Linked DNA regions of Ovis aries. The protein of the gene in region 3 interacts with the protein of the main gene of each other region in a biochemical or structural test. Links are inferred from orthologs where the notes say so. Each region holds a gene or a part of one and is shown on either strand. Other genes may lie near its edges.

What was found.
Region 1: the proteins of PDGFRA (region 3) and PDGFB form a complex in vitro, tested with the Homo sapiens proteins (3 studies listed by BioGRID). The link is inferred for Ovis aries from reciprocal best matches to the Homo sapiens genes PDGFRA and PDGFB.
Region 2: the proteins of PDGFRA (region 3) and PDGFA form a complex in vitro, tested with the Homo sapiens proteins (2 studies listed by BioGRID). The link is inferred for Ovis aries from reciprocal best matches to the Homo sapiens genes PDGFRA and PDGFA.

Annotation. Positions count from the first base shown.
Region 1 is NC_056056.1:216,500,142-216,507,579, forward strand, and holds the start of PDGFB (platelet-derived growth factor subunit B), read right to left. Parts: upstream 5,061-7,438; 5' UTR 5,046-5,060; coding exon 4,983-5,045; intron 3,434-4,982; exon of another isoform or gene 3,069-3,433; intron 1-3,068. UniProt on the Homo sapiens protein: Growth factor that plays an essential role in the regulation of embryonic development, cell proliferation, cell migration, survival and chemotaxis. Potent mitogen for cells of mesenchymal origin.
Region 2 is NC_056077.1:42,365,771-42,373,334, forward strand, and holds the start of PDGFA (platelet-derived growth factor subunit A), read left to right. Parts: upstream 1-3,351; 5' UTR 3,352-5,062; intron 5,063-5,640; exon of another isoform or gene 5,641-5,751; 5' UTR 5,752-5,884; coding exon 5,885-5,956; intron 5,957-6,146; exon of another isoform or gene 6,147-6,438; intron 6,439-6,800; exon of another isoform or gene 6,801-6,970; intron 6,971-7,261; exon of another isoform or gene 7,262-7,434; coding exon of another isoform or gene 7,435-7,497; intron 7,498-7,564.
Region 3 is NC_056059.1:70,433,251-70,440,652, reverse strand, and holds the start of PDGFRA (platelet-derived growth factor receptor alpha), read right to left. Parts: upstream 4,542-7,402; 5' UTR 4,473-4,541; intron 3,007-4,472; 5' UTR 2,791-3,006; intron 1,513-2,790; exon of another isoform or gene 161-1,512; intron 1-160. UniProt on the Homo sapiens protein: Tyrosine-protein kinase that acts as a cell-surface receptor for PDGFA, PDGFB and PDGFC and plays an essential role in the regulation of embryonic development, cell proliferation, survival and chemotaxis.

The DNA.
Region 1 (7,438 bases), on a different chromosome or scaffold from region 3:
GTTCTTGGAGTAAGTATTTTATTTATCTATTTGTTGGCCTTGTGGCATGCTGGATCTTAGTTCCCCCACCAGGGTTCAAACCCATGCCCCCTGCAGTGAAAGAACAGAGTCTTAACCCTGGGTCACCAGGGAAGTCAGGGAGTTAAGTCTTTTAACAACCTAAAACCTCAGCTTCTTTATCTTTGAAATGGGGCTCACAATACCTCACAGGGGTTGGCAGGTAGAATCAGACCTTGCAGAGCAGCCAACAGATTGATGGGTAGTTAATGAGCCCTGCTATGGTCCGCATCCATTCCTTCTGTGTGGCTCCTTGAGGGCAGCAGTGAGCAGCACGCATGCGTGGGGCCAGCAGTGCAGGACATTTTTGAGGATAACAGTGGGTGGGTGGAAAGCTGCCCACCCAGGGGAGATATGTGACTGTGCGAACCACAGGAAATGACACCTGAGCCCCACACTGGCACTTGCCGGGGGGCCCTGTAGGCTGGTGGGTGAGTCCCTTCCGGGGCTGGGGGTGGTTGAGAGGTGGGGACATTTTGCCTTGTGGTCAGCTCCAGGATGCGATGCCCTGCGGGGACTCGGGGCGCCTGCGGGGGGTCAGAGTCTCCTCGTGGCGTGGGAGGGTGAGCAGCAAAGAGCCTGGGTTTCCTGAGCACAGGTTCTAGAAACCTCCTTAAGGTGGGAAGCTCCCCCTCAGAAATGGGAAAGGAGGCCTGGCACCCTGATAAAGCTGCCCCAGATCTCAGGCCTGGGGTTCCTGGCAGGGCGAGGGCGTGGCGAGAGAAGGCAGCTGGGGCACAGCCAGCCTCCTCGGGAGCCAAAGCAAACAGCCTCCTCCCCACCCCACCCCACCCCACCCCCAACGCCAGCTGCAGAGGTAGGAAGGGCACGAGCTGGCTGAGGCCAGGTGAATTACCTGCTCCCAGTCAGGCTGGCAGATTAAAGGGGCTTGGACCCCACCCTCTGCCTGGGCCTCAGCGCTCGCACACAGATACACACTCCCCAGGCTGCCTGAAGTTCCGCTGTGGGAGACGACAAGGGCTTGGCCCAAGCAACCAGGGGCGTTGTCAGTGGCTGGCAGAGGAAGAAGGCCTTGGAGCACCCGCCTGCCTGAGAGTCTCGGGCCTGATTTAGATTCGATGCCAAAGCCAAGCCCTTTGAAGAAGCCTTCTCTGGGCAGACCATAGAAGCCTTTTAGAACCAGCCATTCCCACCAGCATTTCCCTGCCCTATTGCTCCTGGGACCCTCCCTCTCCCCCATCCTTATTACGGTTAGCCCAGCCCCCACCCCCACCAGCTACCCCAGTGGGCTCCCTCCTCTCCTTCCAGCAGAAAAACTGTTAGACGGGAGAGAGAGGCCAGAGCAGCAATTACAATCCTGGCAGTCCACCGCAATCACTGCCCCCAGCCACCACCACCACCCTGATCCCAACTCCCAGCATCCAGTGGGGCCCAGGAATTTGCATTTTCAAGAGACCAGGTAATTCTGCTGCTCTTGAGAAACTGAGCTAATCTAGTCTTCTCTCTCTCTCTCTCTCGCGCGCGCTTTTAGATGGTGGAAACTGAGGCCCAGCTCAAAACACCCAGAACTATTTGTGATCTCACTTTGCTTCTGTTTCTTCCCCTCTGTCCAGTCCAGTCTTGGCAGTCTAAGTCCCAAGACACGGAAAAGAAAGATGCTTGTCTTTCAAGACTGGGGGATGCTGCGGGGGACTCGAAGATGTCTGCTGGAGGGCAGGAGAGCTGTACTGGGCTGCCCTGGGTGAGGACGGAATGAGGCCGTGTTTATAAAGCACTTAGCAAGCCTGAGATACACGTCCGGTCCTTCCCTCCCCCCTTCAAGGATTCACTGTCCTCTCCACAAATATTTACAGATTATCCATCATGGCCAGGCACCATTCTAAGCAGGGGAGACAGTGGTGACCAAGACAAAAGCTGTCTAGTGGAGTTTACACTCCAGTGAGGAAAAATGGGTAAGAAACAACCAAATAAATCAGAAAATGAAGATAATTGCACTAGACGGGGTACTTCAATGGAGAAGAGGGGGTGGTGAGGGAAGATTCTGAGACGGTCTTAGGAGGTCCATGGCAAGTTATTTCTTTTCTACTTCTGCTGAATCAATCTTTCTCACACACACACACATACACACACACAGTTCCTAGGTCTTGCACCAGAGCCTTCAAATTCTGTTTGATCCTAAGCTTGCAGACACTTCTAGGGTTGGGAGATTCCAGCAAGTCAGTCTCCCACTAAGTAAGAGCATTAGCAAATAAGAAAGAAGCTGGGTGATGAAGGTCTGTGGGCCCTTCACTTCTTCTTGGCAGAAGGGTGCTGAGGCCAGAGGCATCACATGATGATGAGTGTCACCCTCCCGGAAGCCAGCTCAGCTAATGGAGATGAGACCTTATGGACTTCAGCCGACCCTCAACCAGGCCCCACCTCAGAGCTCCCTACTCTTCCTTCCCAACTGCTGGCATACAGGGGACAGGACCAACCTCAAGGCTACCTCCACCAGGAAGCCCTCCTGGATTGGCTCCCATGTCACTGGGTTTTCCCTTTTCCCTTTAGGTCTCCTCCCTCAGAGCCTCCTGAGGCTTACTCAGGCTCTGCAGGAAAGTGCTTCATAAACTGCAAAGCACGACACAACCGTGAGTTCCTGAAGACTACGTTCAAGGATGCTGTGATTCAAGTGAGGAGAGAGGCACCAGCTTCCTGGCCAGAGCCTCCGCACCAAGCACACACCCCCATGGAGTTGTGGAACAGGAGGAGGAGGTGCTGGATGAAGCTGGAAATGGAAAGGGCAGGCCTGCAGAGGCCTTTTCCAGCTGTCACCCAGCCTCCCCAGAGCCGGCTGGGGAGGGAAAGACGACTGAGCCGGCAGGGATGGGAAACCCCCTCAAGCGGTTCAGGGCCCACAGTCTTGGCTGGAGGTTCAAAGCTGGGCCTATGTGAAGGGAGAAGTGCTCTGGACATCACAACGGCCCCAGTCACACAACATCTTTTTCGGCCACCTGAGGATGGTTTGAAAAAGCAGCTACAGAGGGGTCATGCTTGAGGGGCGTGGGGCTGACCTGGCAAGGCAAAAACCAGCGCGTGCCGTGGAGCCGGACCCTGACGGGAGGGTTCCTGTTTCCATCCCCTCATCGGACCCAGGAAGGAAATGGGGTGGCTGCAGAGGTGACCAGGTTCCAGGGCCACCTGTTGCGCGGGGGAGGGAACCTGGTACAGGGTGGGTATACGAGCCCTGCGTGCCTGTGTGCGTGCGTGGGTGTGCGCGCACGTGTGCTGAAGCTGCGTGTTCGGGGGCCGTGCGTACGTGTGTATGCGGTGCGCGCGCGTGTGCCCCGCGTGTGCACGGGCGTGGCGGCGGCGGCGGGCGCGCGACCCGGCCGCGGTAGTGCGTGCCCGTCGCTTTGCGCACCCGCCCGCCCGCCGGAGCGCAGCATCGCCTCCGGCCAAGAGTGTGCATGCGTGGGGTGAGTGAGCGCGAGTCGGGGGGCCGGGCGGGGTGGGCTGCGGAGAGCAGAGGCGGGGGCGCTGCCGCGGTTCCCAGGACGCCCTGGCACCGGGCCCAGCCCCCCAGGCCCCGCGGCGAGGCAAGGCGGCAGCTGGGGCCGGCCGGCGCCCCCCTCCCCAACAGCTGGCCGCGGCCCGGGGGGCTGCGGGAGCGGAGAGGAGGGGACGTCGGGAGGGGCCTGCAGGCGGTCGGGCCGAGCCCCGCGTCCTCCCTCCCGGGTGCTGCCGCCGGGGTGGGGGGGGGGGGGCGGGTGGCCGCGGAAGGGCGGGGCCCCAGGGCGGGCGGCCGGCGGCCCTCGAGGAGCCCCGAGAACAAAAGGAGACGGCGACGGCTCCTCCGTGGTCAAAACAACCTGCGCTGGCGGCGGCCCAAGGCCCGGCCGCGGCCTCGGAGCTCTTCACCTTAACCCCTTCGCCGCCGCCGCCTCCTTCCTGCGCCTCGTCGGAGGCCGAGAGCGGCCGGTCCTCCCCCCGGGAGCGGGCGAGGTGCGGGCTCCCGGCCGCGGCCGAGCGTTGGCGGGACGGGACCCAGGAGCGGCGCGCGGCCCGCCGCCCTCTCCTCCCCGGCACCTCGCGCCTCCTCCCTGCCCCGCCCCCTTTCCCACCTGGATTCCGGGTAGACTTGCCAACTCACTGCTACGTGAGGCTGGGAGGGGTGCGGGGGACCCGTACGATCTGATAGCTCCCGCAGACGTTTCCCTATCCCAGCTTCCTTGCTGCGGGGCTTTTCGAGGCGGCGCGCTCCGCACCCTGCGGTCGGGGGAAGAGAGGTGCGTCCTCTCGCAGGGTGCGGGCGCAGGTATGGCGCGGCCTCAGGCACACACCGCCACCGGGGCTGGATTCCCTACAAGCCCCTGCTCCGCCCCTCAGGCCAGGTGCCCCAAACCTCTCACTGCACCCACCGCGCCCGTAGACTGCAAGCGGCTCCGACACTGCACTCTGGGGCCGGGCAAGACCTGCACGGCCCGATGGGCACCCGCCCCGACCGGGAGCAGGAGCCGGGGTAGTTCGCAGACCCCCGCCGAAGCTTGGTGTGGCTGCCACCCGTGCGCGAGCTCGCACCTCCAGGGCAAACCGGGTCCTGGGCAGGACCTAAGCTTAACCGAAGTGGGCTCTCGAGGACGCGCTGCCTGCTGCCTAGGCAGCACCCCACCCCTCTCGCTTGGGCTAGGAAGGGGCTTATTCTCGGGTTCCTGGAGGGGTGGGGGACAGGACCACACACACCTCCTCCCCTGACGCTTAAAAGATCGGAGATCTGAGATCCCCCCAGGGAAAAGAAAGCCACGGCTGCCCCTCCCCTTAGAGCCTAGCACTCCCGGACCTCGCTTTGCAGCCTTCGGAGGTCACCTCACGCCCGCCGCCAAGCCCACGGGTCCAAAGTTCACTGCAGCGAAGGGAGGGGGCGATCGGGAGGCAGGGATGGGGGTAATGAATGAAGCGAAGCAGCCCCAGCCGCCGTCGCAACTCACCTCGGCGCTGACCAGACGCAGGTAGCAGCAGAGAGACAGGAAGAGCGCCCAGCAGCGATTCATGCCGACTCCGGGCCCGGCCCCGCGGGGCCCCGGACGCGTGGACCGAGCGCGCCGCCCCCGCGGCCAGGGTGGGGGGCGGGGGCTGGGGAGGGAGGTGGGCTCTGCTCGGGTCTGCGGCGATCAGGCTCTCAGGCCGCTGCAGCCGCCGCCACGGCTCACCCGCATGGCCCCCGGGCGCCGCCGCCCCCAGCCCGGGCTCCGTCGTTGGGGGGTTGGGGAGGGCCTGGGCGCGGGACCAGGGTCCGAGGCCGCTACCTGGGCGGATCCCGAGCCCGAGCGAGCATCCACGGCCGGAGGGCTGCGTCGCGAACCAGCCGAGGCTTCTAGCCGTGTGGGGGCGCCCAGGGGACTCCAACCTCCAAGAGGAAAAAGAACACGGCAGTCGATGGTTCGTCTTCACTCGCCGGCTAAAGGCGTTTTCCTCTGCCCGCTGGCTTAGCTTTTTTGCAACATTTTCTGGAAAGGTCCCTGAAGTCGGAAAGCGCAAAGCTGGACACCTCAAAGCCAAAGTCTCCCCAAAAAAACTTTTTCCAAAGTTGGTTCTGCAGCGGCGGCTCGAGTACCCGGGCAGGGAGAGGTGCAAACTCCCGCCCGGGCCGGGTGGGGGGGGCCGGAGCGTGTGCGCCCTGGCGCGGGGCCCGGGCGGCGGGCACGGCTGCTCCGCGCGCGCGGCGTGTCCGCTGCGCCCTGGGCCGCGCCCGGCAGACAGGTGGACGCGGCGCGAGTCTGTCGGTCCGTCTGCCCGCCCTCTCGCCGCTCTGGACGTCCTCTGCGGGCTGCGAGCTGCGGCTGCTCCGGCTTTCTCTTTGCAACGAGGCTGGAGGGTGGGTTGTCTTTTTTTTTTTTTCCCCTTTTTTGCGCGTGTGTGTCTGTGTGTGCGCGCAAAATATCTCTATCTGGGGAATGAAAGATGGGCGCTGGCGGCCAGAGGGGAGCCCTCGGGGAGGCAGCGGGGGAGGCTGCGGGCGCACGGGGAGGCAGGAGGAGAAGTTGCCACCCTTTCAGCTGTTCCGGCCTTTATAAAGGAGACGGGAGAGTGCGAGAGGTGGGTGGAGACAGCTTTTCCTCTTCTGGCCGAGAGTCAGTAACGGGAGGGTGGGGAGAGCTCCAGGAGGGCCTGAGGCGAGGAGGGGGAACTTAGGGGTCTCCGAAAGCCCCGCCGCCCGTCTGCCCAGGAATCTGGTCCCTGGCAAGGGAGAACTAGGGGCCATCAAACGCTGGGCCCCTCAGCAGTGTCTGTGGCCTGGTTTCTGGCCCATGTGGTTGGGGGCCAGGGTGTCTCCCAAGCCGCTGGCTTGCAGGATTCCAAGGCGATACCTCCAAGACCGGCGGTTTGCGCCCTAGCCCAGGCGTGGTGCTGAAGGACTCAGGCTCTGCAATCCTGCCTGGCGCTGAGTAGCTGGGTCACCTTGGGCAAGTCACTTCCTCTCTGTGCTCCTCCATCTCGCCTCAAAGTGGGGTGGGTGGACTGTGAGGACTTAGTGCCTGGAGAGAGCAAAAGTACCCAGCCCCAAACCAGGCACAAGGTGATCACACAAACCCTGCAGCCGAAAGCCTCACACGCTCCTCTCCTCCTAGCCGGTTGCCTGGCACACAACAGGCGCTGCCAGCATTGGCTGAATTTGAATTTGTTGAGCTGCAAAGTCACACAAACCCCACAACCCTGCAGCATCCTTGTAGGGTCGCCATCATGCTCCTCCAATTGCCCTGATGTTTACTACCTCCCTCAGCCCCCAGGTTGGAGGCCGCCGGCCCCCCCCCACGCCAGCATTCATACAGTTAACGCCTTCCGCCCCCCTAGCTCCGGGAGCTGCTATGTCCCTGCCTTCAGCAGTCACACGGTCACAGTCACAGAGTCACACGCCCACACGAGCCCAGCACCCCACCATGAGGCCCGCAGGCTCACCGCATCGCCCAGCTCCTGGCTTGAGGACACCTTTATCTGGTCTCGTTGTGATGTCTTTGTTGTCTGCCCTTTGTACCCAAACATCCCTCTGGGGTGGCAGCCTGCTCCTCACATGTGCACACACCCTTCTGAGAGACGCACCCACCGTCTCTTCCTAGATTGTCTTCTTGGGCCTGAGTGAGCAGGGGCGGTGAGGAGGGAGGACATCTCTACAGACCACCACATGCTCCCACCCTCTTCCCATTACCGCCAAGGCAGCTTGGCCGGGGACAGGTCATCTTGGTTCAAATACTGGCGTGGCCACTTGCTGACCAAGTGTCTCTGGGAAGTCTAACTTCTCAGTCCCTCGATTTCCTTCCCTATCTCAAAACTGGAGAGAAATCTACAATTGGAGGGAGGGAGGGATTTCCAAGAAGCATGGGACATTTTGGGGATGGGGGGTGGAAACATTTGTCGTCTTGGCTGGGTGTGATGAATTCACAAGTAT
Region 2 (7,564 bases), on a different chromosome or scaffold from region 3:
ACGTGCGTCTGTCCATCACCTGTCAGCGCCACTGCCTGCTCCCCGAACCACGTGAGAACAAGCTTTGGCATCCTGACCCTTCACCTGCAGCAGTACCACGGTCTCCAAGGACAACAGAGTCTGCCCACGTCACTGTGACACCGTCACCACACCCAGGAGTCTTACCTGGGTACAGTCACCTAATGTTTGTCCCGCGGACCCAGCTGCGTCCCGCGAGCTACTTGCTGTTCTTGACGGAGGAGTCAGTCCAGGACTGGGTGCTGCGGTGACCTCCAGCTCTCTCCGTGTTCTCTTCACGGCGGTGATGTTTCCGAGGGGTCAGGAGCAGGTGTCTGCTGGAGTCTCTCTGAACCTGGGTGTGTCCTCCCCTCCTCAAGACAATGCTTTTGGTGAGAACACTGCAGTGGAGGGCGGGGGCCTGCCCCAAGACATACATGGTGAAGTTTGTTCCGAAACGTTTGCTTACCAACTTAATTTCTTATTCATTGAAATGTACTTCGTGGCAAGAAGTGAGGATTTAATCGGGTAGTTTCTCTAACCTGCCCCAGTGGCACTGCGTGCAGGACTTTCAGCGTCTCTTGTTTCCTCCTCTGGAGTCGCTTCAGCTTTTCCGGGCTCTGCGTGTCCCGGCCCGTCTGTCCCGCGCTCCATGCTGTTCTGACGATCCCGGCGCCCTGCCGTCTGACCTTCCTCTTCATGCTCAGAGCCTGTGCGCCTCTTCGTTCTGGGAGCATGGGTGCTCACCCCGCAACTCTGCCTCTTTGGGGCACTCTGATGTCCTCCCCCCGCCCTGCCCGTGAGCCAAGGTCGCCTCCCTGCCGACCCCGCGGGCGCTGGTCGGGCTTGCGCCTCTGCTCCGGGAGGTGCCGGCCTCCCCGCGGGAAACCTTTCCATCCAGTGAGTCCGTCTCTCTGGAGGGACATGCTCTCACCATCTCTCCTCTAGGAGGCCTGGGAAGCCAGCAATGCCTCTCCCCAACCAACCTGTGAGCCCCAGACTCCGGCCTCCCCCTGGGGGCTGAGTCCCATCAAATCTGGAGGCTGTCTACACTCCTCACCCCATCCACAGCCCGGACAGAGGGATGGGGCCGCCAGCAGCCCCTGGGGAAGAGGAGTGCGTTGGCTCTGGGTTCAAGCCAGGTGACCACCAGACTTGAACCTTGGAGCTCACGTCTAAGAGGCAGGAACTCGGCCATGAATCCTGAAGACAACGGTGGGGTGAGGTCTGCCACCGGGGCCTGGCCAGTTGGCAGGCGGCTGTGGGGGACTGGTTTCTCTTTCTGCCCCCGCATGTGTTGGTTCTGCCCCCTAGAACAAGCCCACGACCCTGACACGGTCGCGAGGTCTGTGGGACCTGCCCACCGCCCACCAGTCCCAGCTCATGCCCTCCTGCTGGTCCTCGACACGCCTCGCCGGTTCCTGCTTCCAGGCCTTGGCACAGGCTGCTGTAGGCTGTGTGACCTTTGCCTAGAAGCTTCCATCCTGATCTCGGCACTGGCTCCTTCAGAAGCAGGCCTTCCTGACCACCCCAGCTCCCTGACCTGGAAGCGCGGGCGCTGGCCACTTGCTTGCTGCTCCCTGGAGAGACTGCCGGCGCCGCGAGGGCATCGTGTCAGCGCTGCAGCCCTGTGCCCAGCACGGAAGTACCTGCTGTGTGAGTGAGGGTTTCCGAAAGCAGCCCCACAGGGCTGGCTATTACCAGAGGCAGGAGGGGAGGCGCCAAGATGCTGAAGGGTTTGCTCAGGGTCATACGGCAGACGAGGCAAGCACGCGTGGTGGGCAGAGCAGGCTGCGGGGTGTTCTGGTCTCCAGGTGCTTCGGGCTTCCCAGGGCAGGACTTCCGCCCCGCCCCTGCCCTACTCATACTCACCGGCTTGGCTCCACCGAGGAGACAGGAACTCCGGATGCCCAGACCAGCCTTGTCCAGTAGAAACCTCACTAAAGCCACCACATTAAACACAGGACCGACAAATGGGTGAGATCAGTCGCAATAACAGTTTATTGACTTCATGTATCAAAAGTGCTATCCTTTCAGCAGGTAACAAATGTGACACTTACTAGTGAACATTTTTACACTCTTTATCTCTATACCAGGTCTCGGAGGCCGTGTGCATTTTACACAAACAGCACATACCAGCCACGTTTCAAATGCCCAGTGGCCTCCCGTGGCAGGGGGCTCCCATCCTAGACAGACCAGGTCTGGCCTCAATTCCTGAAACCCCCAAGTGCCCCTTCCCAGAGGTCTTCATTGACAAAATATTCACAGAATGATTGTAGGCCCATACGCTATGTAAAACCTCATTGCGGTTTGTGTGTTTAAAAGGAAAATATTTAATAGGGAGTTAAAACCAACACTGAGCATGGGGAGGCCGGACTGGAAAGGCCTGATCCTGAACCGGGGCCTGGGGCGGCTGAGATGATGACTTAATTAACACCCGCCTGGCACTTTTGATCTTCAAGGAGAGCTGCCCACTCAGCTGAGGCTGCTCCTGGATTAATTGCCCTGAACCAAGAAATCCTTGCCCAGAGATAAAGGGAAATACGGTGTTTCGTCATGACAAATTGTTCTGAGATCTGCTTTGGCAGTGGGCAGAGACCTGGGCCTGGACGCCCAGCTGGCCACCCAGGCGGAGGCAGCTGTGCCCGAGCCTGGGGTGCCAGGGCCTGCAGGCACGTGTGTGCGGCGATTGCCTCCCTGGGCAGGAGGCTGGGTGGTGGGAGACAGCCGTGCACAGCAAGGTTGCCGGCCCCTACTCCTCAGATGTGAGAACAGATTCAAGGCAGGGCAGGGGCAAAGTGCTCCAGCAAAGCCAAGGTCACGGGGCAGAAGGCAGCTAGCACCTCTCGGGACGGGGGAATTGAGGCCCTCACTGCCAGGGGGCCGCGCCATCCTTCGTGTCCCTCTGAAACCTGCAGGGCCAGCTGGCCTGAGAGAGCGCCCACCCCCAGCACTGGGAGAGCTGGCCCAGGAGTGGCTGTCTGGGGCTGCGCTCTGGGGCTGTGGGCAGTGCCCAACTCCCTGGCATCTGTAAGAGGGGTGGTGGGGCGGCTCTCCACCCGTAGGGGCCACTCAGAAACCCTCAGAAACCGAGGCGTCCAGTGGACGTTAGTCATGACTCCCACTGCAAAAAAAAAAAAAAAAAAACAGATAAAAGGATGATAGCAGCAATGGAGTGCCAGCTGGTGCCAGGCCCCAGGCCAGCGCTGCACGAGCGGTGAGGTGGGCTGTAGGGTGAAGGGTCCTGGGCTGGCCTCAGGTCCTTAACAAAGGCGTCCCGCTCTCCAGGAGCGGCCGGGCCCTTCCCGCCCCTCCGCGGGTGGCGGGAGGGAGGGGGGGTCATGGGCGGTGCCCAGAAGAACCAGCGAGGGGCAGACGCGCAGCCACCCGGATGCACCGGGAGTCCCTCTCTGCACCTATTTGTAGCACCTGACTCACCTTAATTATGGGTCCGCGACACGTCGGGGCGCGCCGCCGGGGACGCTGCAGATGGCCCGGAAGCACCAGCTCCGGGGGCGACCGGACATCCCGGCCTGCCAGGTGCGCCTTCACCTCCCACCAGCACTTACCCTCTCTGGAGCTCCCCCCCAGGGCCCCCTTCTTCCGCCTCGGAGCCGTTGGCTGCCAAGGGGCGCCCACAGCCTGCCAGGGCCGCGTGTCCTGGGCCTGGGCTCCCAGCTGTGTGTGTGGGGGGGCGGGGGGGTTAGGGTGGGAGCATCGGGAACCGGGAACTGGTCGGGGTCGAGCCGGACTCTCGGCCTGGGCGGGGATGCCCCGCGGAGCCCCGCCCTTGCGCTCTGCGAGGCCGCCCACGCCTCCTCCGACTCGAGTGTATATTTAGCCTCTTTATCAAGTGTTTGCAGTGAACCGTGTGAACCGCCTAATAGCGGCTGGAAGTGAAACTCGATTCCTGGGCAGAAAGGAGCACGTGACCGCACCTGAGCAGCCAGGATCGCAGGACAGGCGGGCTGGGCAGGTGCCGGAGCGCCCACGTGCCTGGCTTCGGGACCCAGGGTCCCCTCTCCCGCCGCCGAGCCTCCATCTGAAACCGCCTCCCTACTCAGCCCCTTCCCGAGAGATGAGGATGCCAGGCTCTGAAAGGGGAAGGGGCCTCGGAGAGAGGCGCCAGGGTCGGGGAGTCCCCGCACGCGTGGATTCCCGTCCTGGTTGTTGATTCTTGCTCAAGTCGATTCAAGGTCTAGGAAACAGCGGCTAGCGATCTACTTTTGCCGGCTTTTTCGGAGGGGGGAGGGTGGGGGAGGGCTGTCCTTGGTGGCAGGGCAGACCTTGATGGACCAGTGTGAGTCTGCCCTGAGTCTCCCCCAAAAGCGGCTGTCACCGGCTGCACAAGTTTGTGCCACCCTGGGCAGCCGCTGTTGTCGTGGTCGCTATGACAACGAGCCGAGGTTTTATTTTTAATAGCCGCCAGAGATTAGAAGGATGCCTCCGTTGGCGCGCCCCCTCCCCCCCCCCCAATCTCGCCTGCTCTCTAACTTTGGCCTGGGCTCCCGTAGAAGATGCCCCCATTCCATGTTCCCAGATCTTTTCTCTTCTGCCCCAAACCCACATTTCTGTCCCAAACTCAAACTGGGAGCCCCTGAATTTCCAGGCTGGGATGGGGCACCGAGCGAATCACTTGCTCAAAGCTGGTGGGACCGCCCCCGCCCCCAGGACCTAGGGAACCTCTGTACAGAGGTTGGAGCCAGAAGGGCCCCCACCCCAGCCCCTGCAATACAAGGTGACCTTTCCTCATCCGCACACCCGCCATCAAACCAAGTCCTTCAGCCCTGAAGACGTGTGGGTCCTCAGGTCCCCTCTGCCTGTGAGGAACTGGACGCTCAAGCCGGTGTGATGCGGTCAGCTCTCAGGAAATCTCTGGGCTCCGCCAGGGGAACAGCCTGAGTCCAAGCAGTGTGCTCTTCGCCTTCTGGAAACCATTCAGCGGACTCCCTCCAGTGCAGTGGGAGGTCTACTTAGGTGGACAAGGACAGTACCAAGGCTTCCCGAGCTCTGCCTCACCCTCCTTTCTAAGCCCCGAGTGCGTGCTTTGGGGGGGAGGCTGCAGGTGAGGCTAGCAGCGGAGAGGGGCAGGTGCGCTGGGGGACTGAGTGCTGGGAGACCCTGCCCGCTGGGAATCCCAGGGGGGGCCCACCCCTCCTCCCCGGAATCTGGGGGAAGCTGAGGGACCCCCCCCCCGCCCCCCACCGAGGGCCCACTGGACTCGGCCTTTGAAATGCTGGAGCCCAAGAAGCCAAGGATGAAAGAGGGCCTGGAGCGTTGTGTCTTTACTGCCTTTGGCTGGAGGGCAGCCTGGGCGGGGGCAGGGGCCCAACCCGGAGGATGGGGGTGTGGGGTGGAGGGCTCGGGCCAGCGAGGTTCTCTTTCCGCAGCCCACCCAGCCACTCGCAGTCCCTAGCCTTTAATGGCCTCCCGTCTAGCTGCGGGGTCACTTGGCTCGTTACCCCTCTAGCCCTGATACCGGGGGCTTCTCCGCCCTTCTAGAGACCCGTCGCCAGGGTGCGGTCCCACCTGCTTAGGCAGGCGGGAGGGACCCAGCTCGGCGCACCGCCCTTCGGTGGCGGGGGCGCCGTCCAGCCCCGCTCAGGCCTCGGCCTTCCTCGCGTCGCTCCCCCGCATCGCTCTGTGCGGCGCCGCGGCCGGAGGTGGCGCTCTGTGCGCCCAGCGGATCCCGGCGCGGGAGGCTGAGACTCCCGGGCTCCTCTCGAGCGGCTCTTTTCTTTTCCTCCCTTCCAGCCCTCGAGTTTCTGGCTCAGACCGCCGCCAGGCCTTCCACGAGGGCGCGGGGACTTGGGGGTGCGGGAGCCCAGGGCGGGGACGAGGCCCGCGGCAGCCCCCTCCTCCGACCGGGGCGCCTTCCTCTCCCGGAATGTGGGTGGAGGTTCCTCGTTCAGACGCCCCAGGCATCGGATTCCGGGCGGGGGCGCGTGGCAGCCGCCAGGTGAGTGTCCCAGACGCGCCCCTAAACCCGCCCCACCTCTCACCAGAGCCTCACTCCCCCTCCTTTTATGGCGGGGGAGCCGGGGGCCCGGGATCCAAACCGTGCAGAGGCCGGAGCACCAGGGCGGGGGGCGGGAGGCGGGGGCCGGCTCGCTTTTGCCCTTTTTGGCGTAGCAGCTCTGGGCGCTGCCCTCTGCCGCCGCTGGGGCCCGAGAGAGGCGAGCCGGCGACGGCGGCGCTTCTGCGGCCGCCTCCTCCCCTCCCCGTCCGGTGCTGCAGGGCTGCAGCTGGCACTGGGGGGTGGGCAAGCTCGAGGGAGGGGCGCCCGGGGAGCCACGGGCAGCGCGCGGAGCCCCGGCGGCTGTGCTCGGGGCCGGGCCCGGGGCCTTGATGGGTTTTACTGCCTGCGCGAGCGCGTGTGTGTGCTCACTGCGGCCGCGGCGGGGCCCTGCCCGGCCCGTTCGGCCCCCGCGCGCTTCCGAGGTGCGGGTCCGGGGCCCGGAATCCGGGGGAGGCGAGGGGGAGGGGGCGGGGGAGGGGCGCGCCGCGGCGCTATAACCCCCTCCCCGCCGCCGGCCGGCTCCACACGCGCGCCCCGCGGAGCCCGCACAACTCCGGCGAGCCGGGCCTGCCCGCGCCGCCTCCTCCTCCTCCTTCTCTGTCGGCGGCGGCGGCGGCGGCGCCGGCTCGGCCCCGGCTCGGCCCTCAGGCCCGCGCGGCGAGGCCCCGGGCGGGCGGCGGCTGCCAGGCGGAGCGGCCGCGGGCGCTGCCCGGCTCGGGCCGGCGGAGGGCGGAGGGCGGAGCGCTGCGCCGGAGCCGAGGGCGCGCCGCGGAGGGGCGCACGCAGGCCGCCGGGCCGCGCCGTGCTGGGCCGCGCCGTGCCCGGCCGGGCGGCGGCGGCGGCGGCGAGAGGAGGCCGGAGGCGAGCGCGGGGCCGCTGGTGGGCGCGCAGGGCCGCCCGCAGCCCGCAGGGAGAGCGCGAGCCCGCGCCGGGCCTGGCCGGGCGTCCAGACAGGTGATGGGTGGTGCGGCGGCAGCGGCTCCAGCCTCGCTCCGGGGTCCCTTTCGGGGCTGACGCCCGCAAATATGCAGAATTACCGGCCTGGTCGCTCCTAGAGCCAGCGCCGGGGAGCGAGCGCGGCGGCGGCCAGCACCGGGAACGCACCAAGGAAGAGGCCCAGCCCCCGCCCTCCGCCCCTTCCGTCCCCACCCCCTACCCGGCGGCCCAGGAGGCTCCCGGCGCGGCGGGCGCGGCGAGCGCGCACTCCCTGCTCCTCCTCCTCTCTGGCGCTGCCTGCCTCTCTCCGCACTCGCTGCTCGCGCCGGGCGCGCTCCGTCGGCTCCCTGCTCTCCGCGCCACCCTCCTTCGGGCCGCGTTCCCTGAGGGATGGTACTGAATTTCGCCGCCACAGGAGCCCGGCTGGAGCGCCCGCCCCGCGGCCTCGCCTCCCCGCCGAGCCACCGGTGCCTCGGGACGCGATGAGGACCTGGGCTTGTCTGCTGCTCCTCGGCTGCGGGTACCTCGCCAATGCCCTGGCCGAGGTGGGTGCCACCCCCGCGCCCTGTCCTTTCTCCGACTCCCCCTGCGCACGCCCCCTGAGGTCGCCCG
Region 3 (7,402 bases):
AGGCTGGCACAGGGAGTGAAATAGATACAGGGACACTGGAGAGGGTGAAGCAGCGCTGGGCCAGTGCAGGGGCGAGTGCCCCGCACCCCCGTGCGGAAAGGGGCATGGGTACCCCGAGGCAAGCAGTGAGGGCGGTTCGCCTCCCATATATCTGTCTTACCTGAGAACCAAGTTTCTCCGTTCCGAGTTGTCCCTAACTTCCCCCACAAGAAGTTCTCCACTTTTTTTTTTTTTTTTTGGCGACCTTCTTTCTTTCCTTCCTGCGGCTGGGACTGGGTAGCAGCAGAGCTCCGGGCTTGGCAAAAACGGTTCCACCGAGGAATGGGGGTGCGCAGAGATTGCTGGGGGTGGAGACCACCGCGCACAATGAGGGCCCCTAGGAGCGCAGTTCGAAATTCCTCAAATCCCAGTTGCTGGAATGCGAGGCGACGACGACTTCTTCACTCGGGGCCAAATGTGTTTGTCATTACTCCATAGACCGCCTGCCTGCCCGCCAGCCCGCGCCGCCGTCGCCCCCGCGCTACAGCGCGCGATCCGAGCGCGCTGCGGGGCTGGCGCCCTCTCTCCCTCGCAGTTCACTGATTGCCGCAAACCACTGATCCCCAAACCCTCGCCCAAATCGGCGCCCCCTCCGCTCGTCTCGCAGCCGCCAAGGTTGTACTGAGTCTGGCCCTTACCGGGCGCAGCACCCTCCAGTAACTATGCGCCCTGGGTCGGCGCCATGTGCACCCGATGGGCACCCCAGGTCCGGCCCTCTCCAGCCGAGCCCTTCACGCCTCCCCTCCCCTCAACCCCTTCCGCTCCCCACTCGGCGTTCGTCTCTCCCCACCTCCCTCGGTCCACCAGTCGCGCTCCACACCGCCGGCTACAGTGCTGTCCCGCCAAACCGCGGGCGAGGAATGAAAATACTCATTAAAAACCTGTAGCCTTCCAGGACTCCATGCCAAGAAGAGGGCAAACACCTCTGCCCCCACTCCCAGCACTGCTTGGTGCTCGTCCCAGGATACAGGAATATCACCCCCAACCCCCAAAAGAAACCTCAAAAATGTAAGCCTCAACAATTTCTTTGGGAGGCCATAGAGTTGTTAGAAAAATACTGCTTTTAAAAATAGGTCTGGAAAATGTGTTTTTTTAAACCCCTAGACTTTCGAACTCTATGGTTATCTTCCCTCCAAGTGAAGTTTATTCAGAATAAATTACTCTCTGGACATACAACTAGAATTCGACTCCAATTTTTTTTTTTCATCGCCCAAAGTTTGAAGTTACTTCACTTCTAGCCCAAAGAGCCTGATTAGGGATTTCTTTTAGAAACAAAAATACTTTTTCTCCTCCCTTACCTTCTCCTCCAATGTCAATTCGCAATGAAAATCCTACATGAGGAGGAAAAAGTGTGTCCACGGCCTGCAGCCCTCTCCTGCAGTCCCCTCCTCTGTTTCTCTCCCTCTAGCTCCAACTGTAATGGGCTCAAAAACCGCGTTTTGTAATTGATTCAATGTTATAGTCCATCCTTCTAAAACTAATCATTTGCTCTAAGTAAATAGCTGTCAGGAAATGAAGCCCCCCCCTCCCCTTGGCCTCTTCAAAATAAGAGTTTCCCTCGAACTCCGTGCGCTCTGAATCTTCCAGCCTCCAGATTGCTCCTTCGCTTTTCGCTCTTACGCAATCAGGGGGTCCAGCCCCAACCCCCAGACTTCGACAACAACTGGGGGGCGGAGAGAAGCCGACCAGATGGGGTGGGGGGGAGGGGGAGGTGTTGATGCTCTGCCGAGAAAGAGGTTCGTGAAAATACATACTGCCCATCATTTCCAAAATGAGTTTGCCTCTTGATTTCGGGGGACAATTTCCTACACTGCTATGTTGCTTTGTATTTTCTTTGAAAGGAAGAAAAGGAACACGTAAAATTGCAGTTAATGCCCAAAGAGAATATAAATCTGGAGTCAAGAAGTGTCCCTTCTGTAGAAACCCCTAACCCACCCAGAATCCCGGCCGTCGGGAGAGGTCTCCGAGCCGTTGCGTCGACTTGAACCTGGGGTCTTTTAGGGAAAGTGCCGTATAGTTGCTAATCCTTTAATGGGATTAGGCAAGCTGTTGAGTCTAATATGAAGATGATGGGTGGTTTTTTTTCTTGGGCGGGCAGGGGGTTTGCTTTGGTTTGATTTTGTCCAAAGACAGATTTGAAGTAGGGTACAAAGAGTTGAGGGTCTGCCGTAGGTTTGGAACTTTCTCCGACAGAACGACCTTTACTCTCTTAAAGCACTTATCTTGTCTTGCCTTTGTTTTCATGGTTATCTGGGCGAGGTTGTCCTGGCTTCTATCACGCACACAAAAAGGCTCAGGCTTGATCGTCTGCGGAATCTTCTACAACCAGCCTGCTACCTCCGCGTTCAGGGGGAGGGTACAATTTGACTCTCCCCACACCCTCTCCCGACGCGTGGATCGGGCCGTACGGGTACACTAGGGATAAGAAGGGAGCCCCCAACCCTAGCCCTGGGGCCCCAGGCAGGAGACTAAGCCGGGAGAGGGCGATCCTGCTCGCGAAAGAAAGGGGGCGCTGACGCTCCAGGAACCAGACCTGGGCAGAGTGGGGCTTCCCAGCGAGGGCGGGGGAGGGGAGCGCGATTGCCTTCCCCACCTCCTCTAATTTCGAATTCTCTTGTTGGGTGGAGGGCTCAACCTTTACCACCACCCCCGACTCTGCCCCCCCCCCCCCCCCCCACACACACACTTGACAGTGGCCAGGGCGGCCTGGTTTAGGCTGGAATGTGGGACAGCCATCACCTTCTCCCTTACTTAGAGAGTGGACACGGAGCAGCCTGCAGGGGATGTTCACAGAGAAGTACTCGAAGGGGTGCTGTATGGAACTGCGACCGGCTCCTGGGGTGTCAGGTTCGTGAAGACGCCTGAGGCTGGGCTAGGGGCCTCATTCCTCCAGTCCTTCTGCGCAACCGCCTCCCGTGCATCTTCAGTTCGGATGACTGCACTGCTCACTATTACTTCCACATGTTCCTTCAGGAAATCATTGAAGGCAAATATATGAACAGCCCCTTGTTCGGAATGCTAACAGGATACCGTAATGTTTGTAGATAACGAACGGGGACTAAAGAACCCCCCAAAATCGGAGTGCGGAATAATAGGGGGAAAGCGGGTGCTGGATTTCATGCTAATAATAAAATCCAGCTGAGATGCAAATTTTTATACCACGGACTCGAGAGGGTAGGAGGCGAGGCAGGGCGCAGGGCCTACCCAGTAAGGCCTACTTTGCTGCTACGACATTGCCAGCCTGGTCAAGCCGGGATCTCCGGGACGCAGGCCTCTGCTCTCCCCGCCCACAAATGGTAACTTCACAGTTCCTTTCAGAGACGCTTAAAGGGACCCGAAAAGTGGACTGGGCCGGGGTGTCTTCGGGCCATAACTCCTCGCGAGTTTAAAACAGAGAGAACGGATGAGCAAGGAAGCACTCAGTCGTCCTTCTGGTAGTAATTACCTGCCTAATTTGAATGATGCCTTTGTTATGATCATTAACAAACATTTGCTAAAGGTTTCCATGTGTGACATTCCAGAAGGTTTAAAGGCCTGGGGAGCTGACTCCGGGGATGGAACACCGGTGGGGGGTGGCGCAAGGGAAGCAAATGGTTGGGAGATTTCCCCGAGCCTGGGCCGAGCAGATAGAGGGAGGTCAACATCTGCCTCCCCAGCAAAAGCAAAATAAACCCACTAGTCGGGAGCAACCTCGGGGCTGGAGGCCCACAAAAAGAGGCGGTTAGCTCCTTAAAATGAGTTCTGCCCACCCGCCCCTCCCACTGCTCATAGGCGGGTTTGAATCTTGCCGTCCGCCCTCCGCCGAGGTTCAGCGGATTGACTGCGCGCGTCTGTCAACAGGGGCGTCGCGGAGAGGTGGGGCGAGCCGAGTTTCCCTCTCCCAGTGTTGTTCTAAGATCCTTTCAGATTGCTCCCTCGATGCCCGGGGTCCTGGGTGGTCCAGGAGCCGCAGCGGGCAAGAAATGCCTCCTGGCCGAGGCGAACTGAGAGGTCTCTTCTCTGTCTGCTTCTGCCCGGGGCGTTGCGGGGGACCCACCACCCTGAGCTCCCGGAGGAGTGACCCTCGCCGGCTTGGGTACTTGAGCGAATGTCCCAGCCTCAACCCGGATTTTGATTTTCACCTCTTGTGTTTTTCCCTTGAGAGATCATCATGGAATTACGAATGAGGGTTTTTCCCTCAAACCCGCAGTCGAGGCGGCTGCGACCCTCTGGGAAGGAGGCCCAACTCGAGAGATGAGCCACGTTAGGGGAAGTTAGGGGAGCGTGGTGTTCTGGCGTGGCCTTGCGCATCTAGGCCCTCAGGCGACAATGAAATTGGAAGCAAGAGATGGAGCAGAGCCAGCCATCAAAAAGAGCCCCCCACCCGAAGTTTTTAAAACCAAATCCAAATGATCCCTGAAAACAAAACCAAAATCTCTCCCCGGCTCGCCTACCCAACTCCCGGGCGACCGCGACGGGCAGCAGCCCCGGGTCACACCTTTGAGTTTCGTGGGCGTTTCCCCGCTGAGTTGGCTTTCTGTTTCTCTTCTCCTTCTTCCCGGCGCTCCAGCTCCACCCCCCAGTTCTACTTTCCTCGGAGAATTCAGAAGGTACTTGGGCTTTGGAAGACCTCTGATTACAGCAGTTATCAAAGACGATAGTAGCGAAAATCACCTTTAAGCCAAGTCGCAGTTGGTCCTTTCAAATGAAGTTGGGGGTTTGTGGTGAGGGAGGGACGCACTTCTAGCTTTTTTTTTTTCCCCCCTAACTTTCTGAATTGAAAATAAAGGGCCATTTGGTGGCTGGGGGGCGGAGGGAGGCGCTAACTGTCCCATTTCCCACCCTCTTTCAATTCTTGTCTGAGCCTGCAAGAGACACCTCCCTGGGCCGGCAAGGGACCTTAGTGAGGAAGGCTCCGAGGAAGCTTGCGGATGGTGGGGTTCCCGCCCTTGCCTCGGGTCTGCCCCAGCTGAGGTTTGGAAGCTTGCTCTAGTCTCTGCAGCTCAGAATACAGAGGCCCAAGTCTTATTAAAAGAGGAGAAAGAGGGTCCAGACAGGCTCGTGTAACTTGGGGCGACAGTTCTCTCTGGGTCCCCCTAAACACCTCATCTTCTTGCTGGTGGCTGACTAAGGGTGCAGCGTCTCTTCTGGGTTCTTAGAGGCTTTCTCTTCAAAGCTTTGTCTCCAAAGAGAAGTCCAAAGCCATTCCCCGTGGCTGGAGACCAGCCGCGCCTCTGCTAGGGCTAGGGTTCCAAACACTTGAGCCTGCTTTGTGACCCGAGGACCATAGACTGTGAGCTCTGTTTCCCACTCTGACGAGCCCAGGGAAGGACTAAGCTCCCCAGAGCTGAGAAAGACATGGTGGGACTAGACCCCCCCTGGGTCTGGATTCTTGGATACCCTCTTCCTAGGGAGAGAGCACGGCTTTCTCAATATGGAGAGGGTTTTGCACCACCTACTCCCCTCTCCTTCTGTTAGACCTTTAGCTTTTAGTTACTTTTAATTTGAAAGCCGTGTGAGGGGAGAGGGAGGGATCGAGGAGATTGGGAGGTCTGCTCTTTATTAGGGGCCTCAGCATCCAGCTTTCCAACTCACAGCTGTGGCTTGGGAGGGGCAGGAGGGCTGGCTCTGTTTAGGTCAGCTTGACTGAAGAAAGGGCCTTGTCCTCAGGAAGTCCCAGGAGTAAGGCAAGGGCTAATGATGTTTAAAAAAAAAAAAAAAAGCAAAAGGCTTCCAGCAGAAACTGTGCGGTGCAAAGCCAGTGGAACCTGGGATCTGCAACTACATTAATTATAGTACAGAAGTTTGAGTGTGAGCCACATTATTTAATCAGGGTATTATTTTATTTAATCCCCCGAACAACCCTGTGGGTTGTGCATGATTACCCCCAATTAACAGATGAGCAAACAAAGTCAGAGGGGTTAAGCAGTTAGTGCACAGCAGTGCCAGTTTCTGCCTAACCATGTCCTGGGTTCCAGTTCCAGTGTGATCTAGTCAAGACAGGTCACATCTCTGAGCCTCAGTCTCCTCGTCTGTATGAATTGGCATGTCTGCACTTTGTCCCCAGATTGTTGAGACGGTTAAACAATATGAGGCAGGAGAAGCCCAGGAAGGCACTGGATAAAGTTTCTCTTTCTCAGGCACAGTCACTGACATACTCCTCTCCAGGTCCCTGCTTCCCCTGGATTGGCCTCAAGAATTGGGTGAATGCCAGTCTAGTTTTCTAGTTCATGGTCTCAATTAAAGGTGGGACAGGGGCATCTTGATTCCTAGCTATTACCCATCAATGTCTCAGGCCCTCTCAAAAACTGGGTCCTAGGCCAGAAGGCAGCAGGGAGCCAGGAAGGACCAGAACAAGCAGCCAGAATGAGAAGACAGGCCTGACACCTCCAAGAGAGGATCTGTAAGAAAGTCAGGAAGAAGGGATGCTGAGGCCTCAGTTTCGGGGAACCTGTGGTGAGAATCCGTGGGGGAGCTTCTGGGGTGTCTTGTAAGCTTGTGCACCAGGCACCCGGACTTTGAGAGGATGCACTTGGTAGGTCAACGTGTGCCATGCCTGCATCTAACACACAGTCACCTTCCTCCACCAGACATCCTCCAACCTTGATTTTGGAAGTTTCTCTTTCAGTTTTTCAATTCATTAAAGCTTATGGCACATCTAAAACTAACACAACATTGTAAATAAACTATAATGTATATATTTTTAATTTAAGTAAGTTAAAAAAAACGATGGCATGTGCCAGTCAGAGTTTGCTCTCCACTTTAGAGAATTGATTCATGGAATTCCCTGGTTTGCCTTCCTGGGTGGCACTAGTGGTAAAGAACCCACCTGCCATTGCAGGAGACATAAGAGACACAGGTTTGATCCCTGGATCGGGACAATCCCCTGGAGGAGGGCAGGGGAACCACTCGAGTATTCTTGCCTGGAGAATCCCCATGGACAGATAAGCCTGGCTGGCTGCAGTCCATAGGGTCACAAAGAGTCGGAAACGACTGAGCAACTTGACAGGCGTGCTGGTGGTCCAGTGGTTAGGACTCAGCACTTCCACTTCTGTGGGACCAGTTTCAATTCTTGGTCAGGGAGCTAAGATCCAAGCCATGTGAACGCCACCCCCCCCCTACCACCCCTGCAAAAAAAAAAAAAAAAGTGAGAGAGAAACAGTTGATTCATTGATTGAAAAAACATTTAATGAGCATACGCTTTGTGTCTAGCTCTCTAATAGGCATTAGGGTTACGGTAGCAAACAGAATGGATATGGTCTTTGCCATGAAGGAATTTGCTACAGTACTCTTGTCTAGCTACCAGTGCTCCCCACCCCAACCGCTGCAGCCTCACTGCTGGCTATTGAGAGGGGCCCCATTAGAATAACACTCATTATTTTCA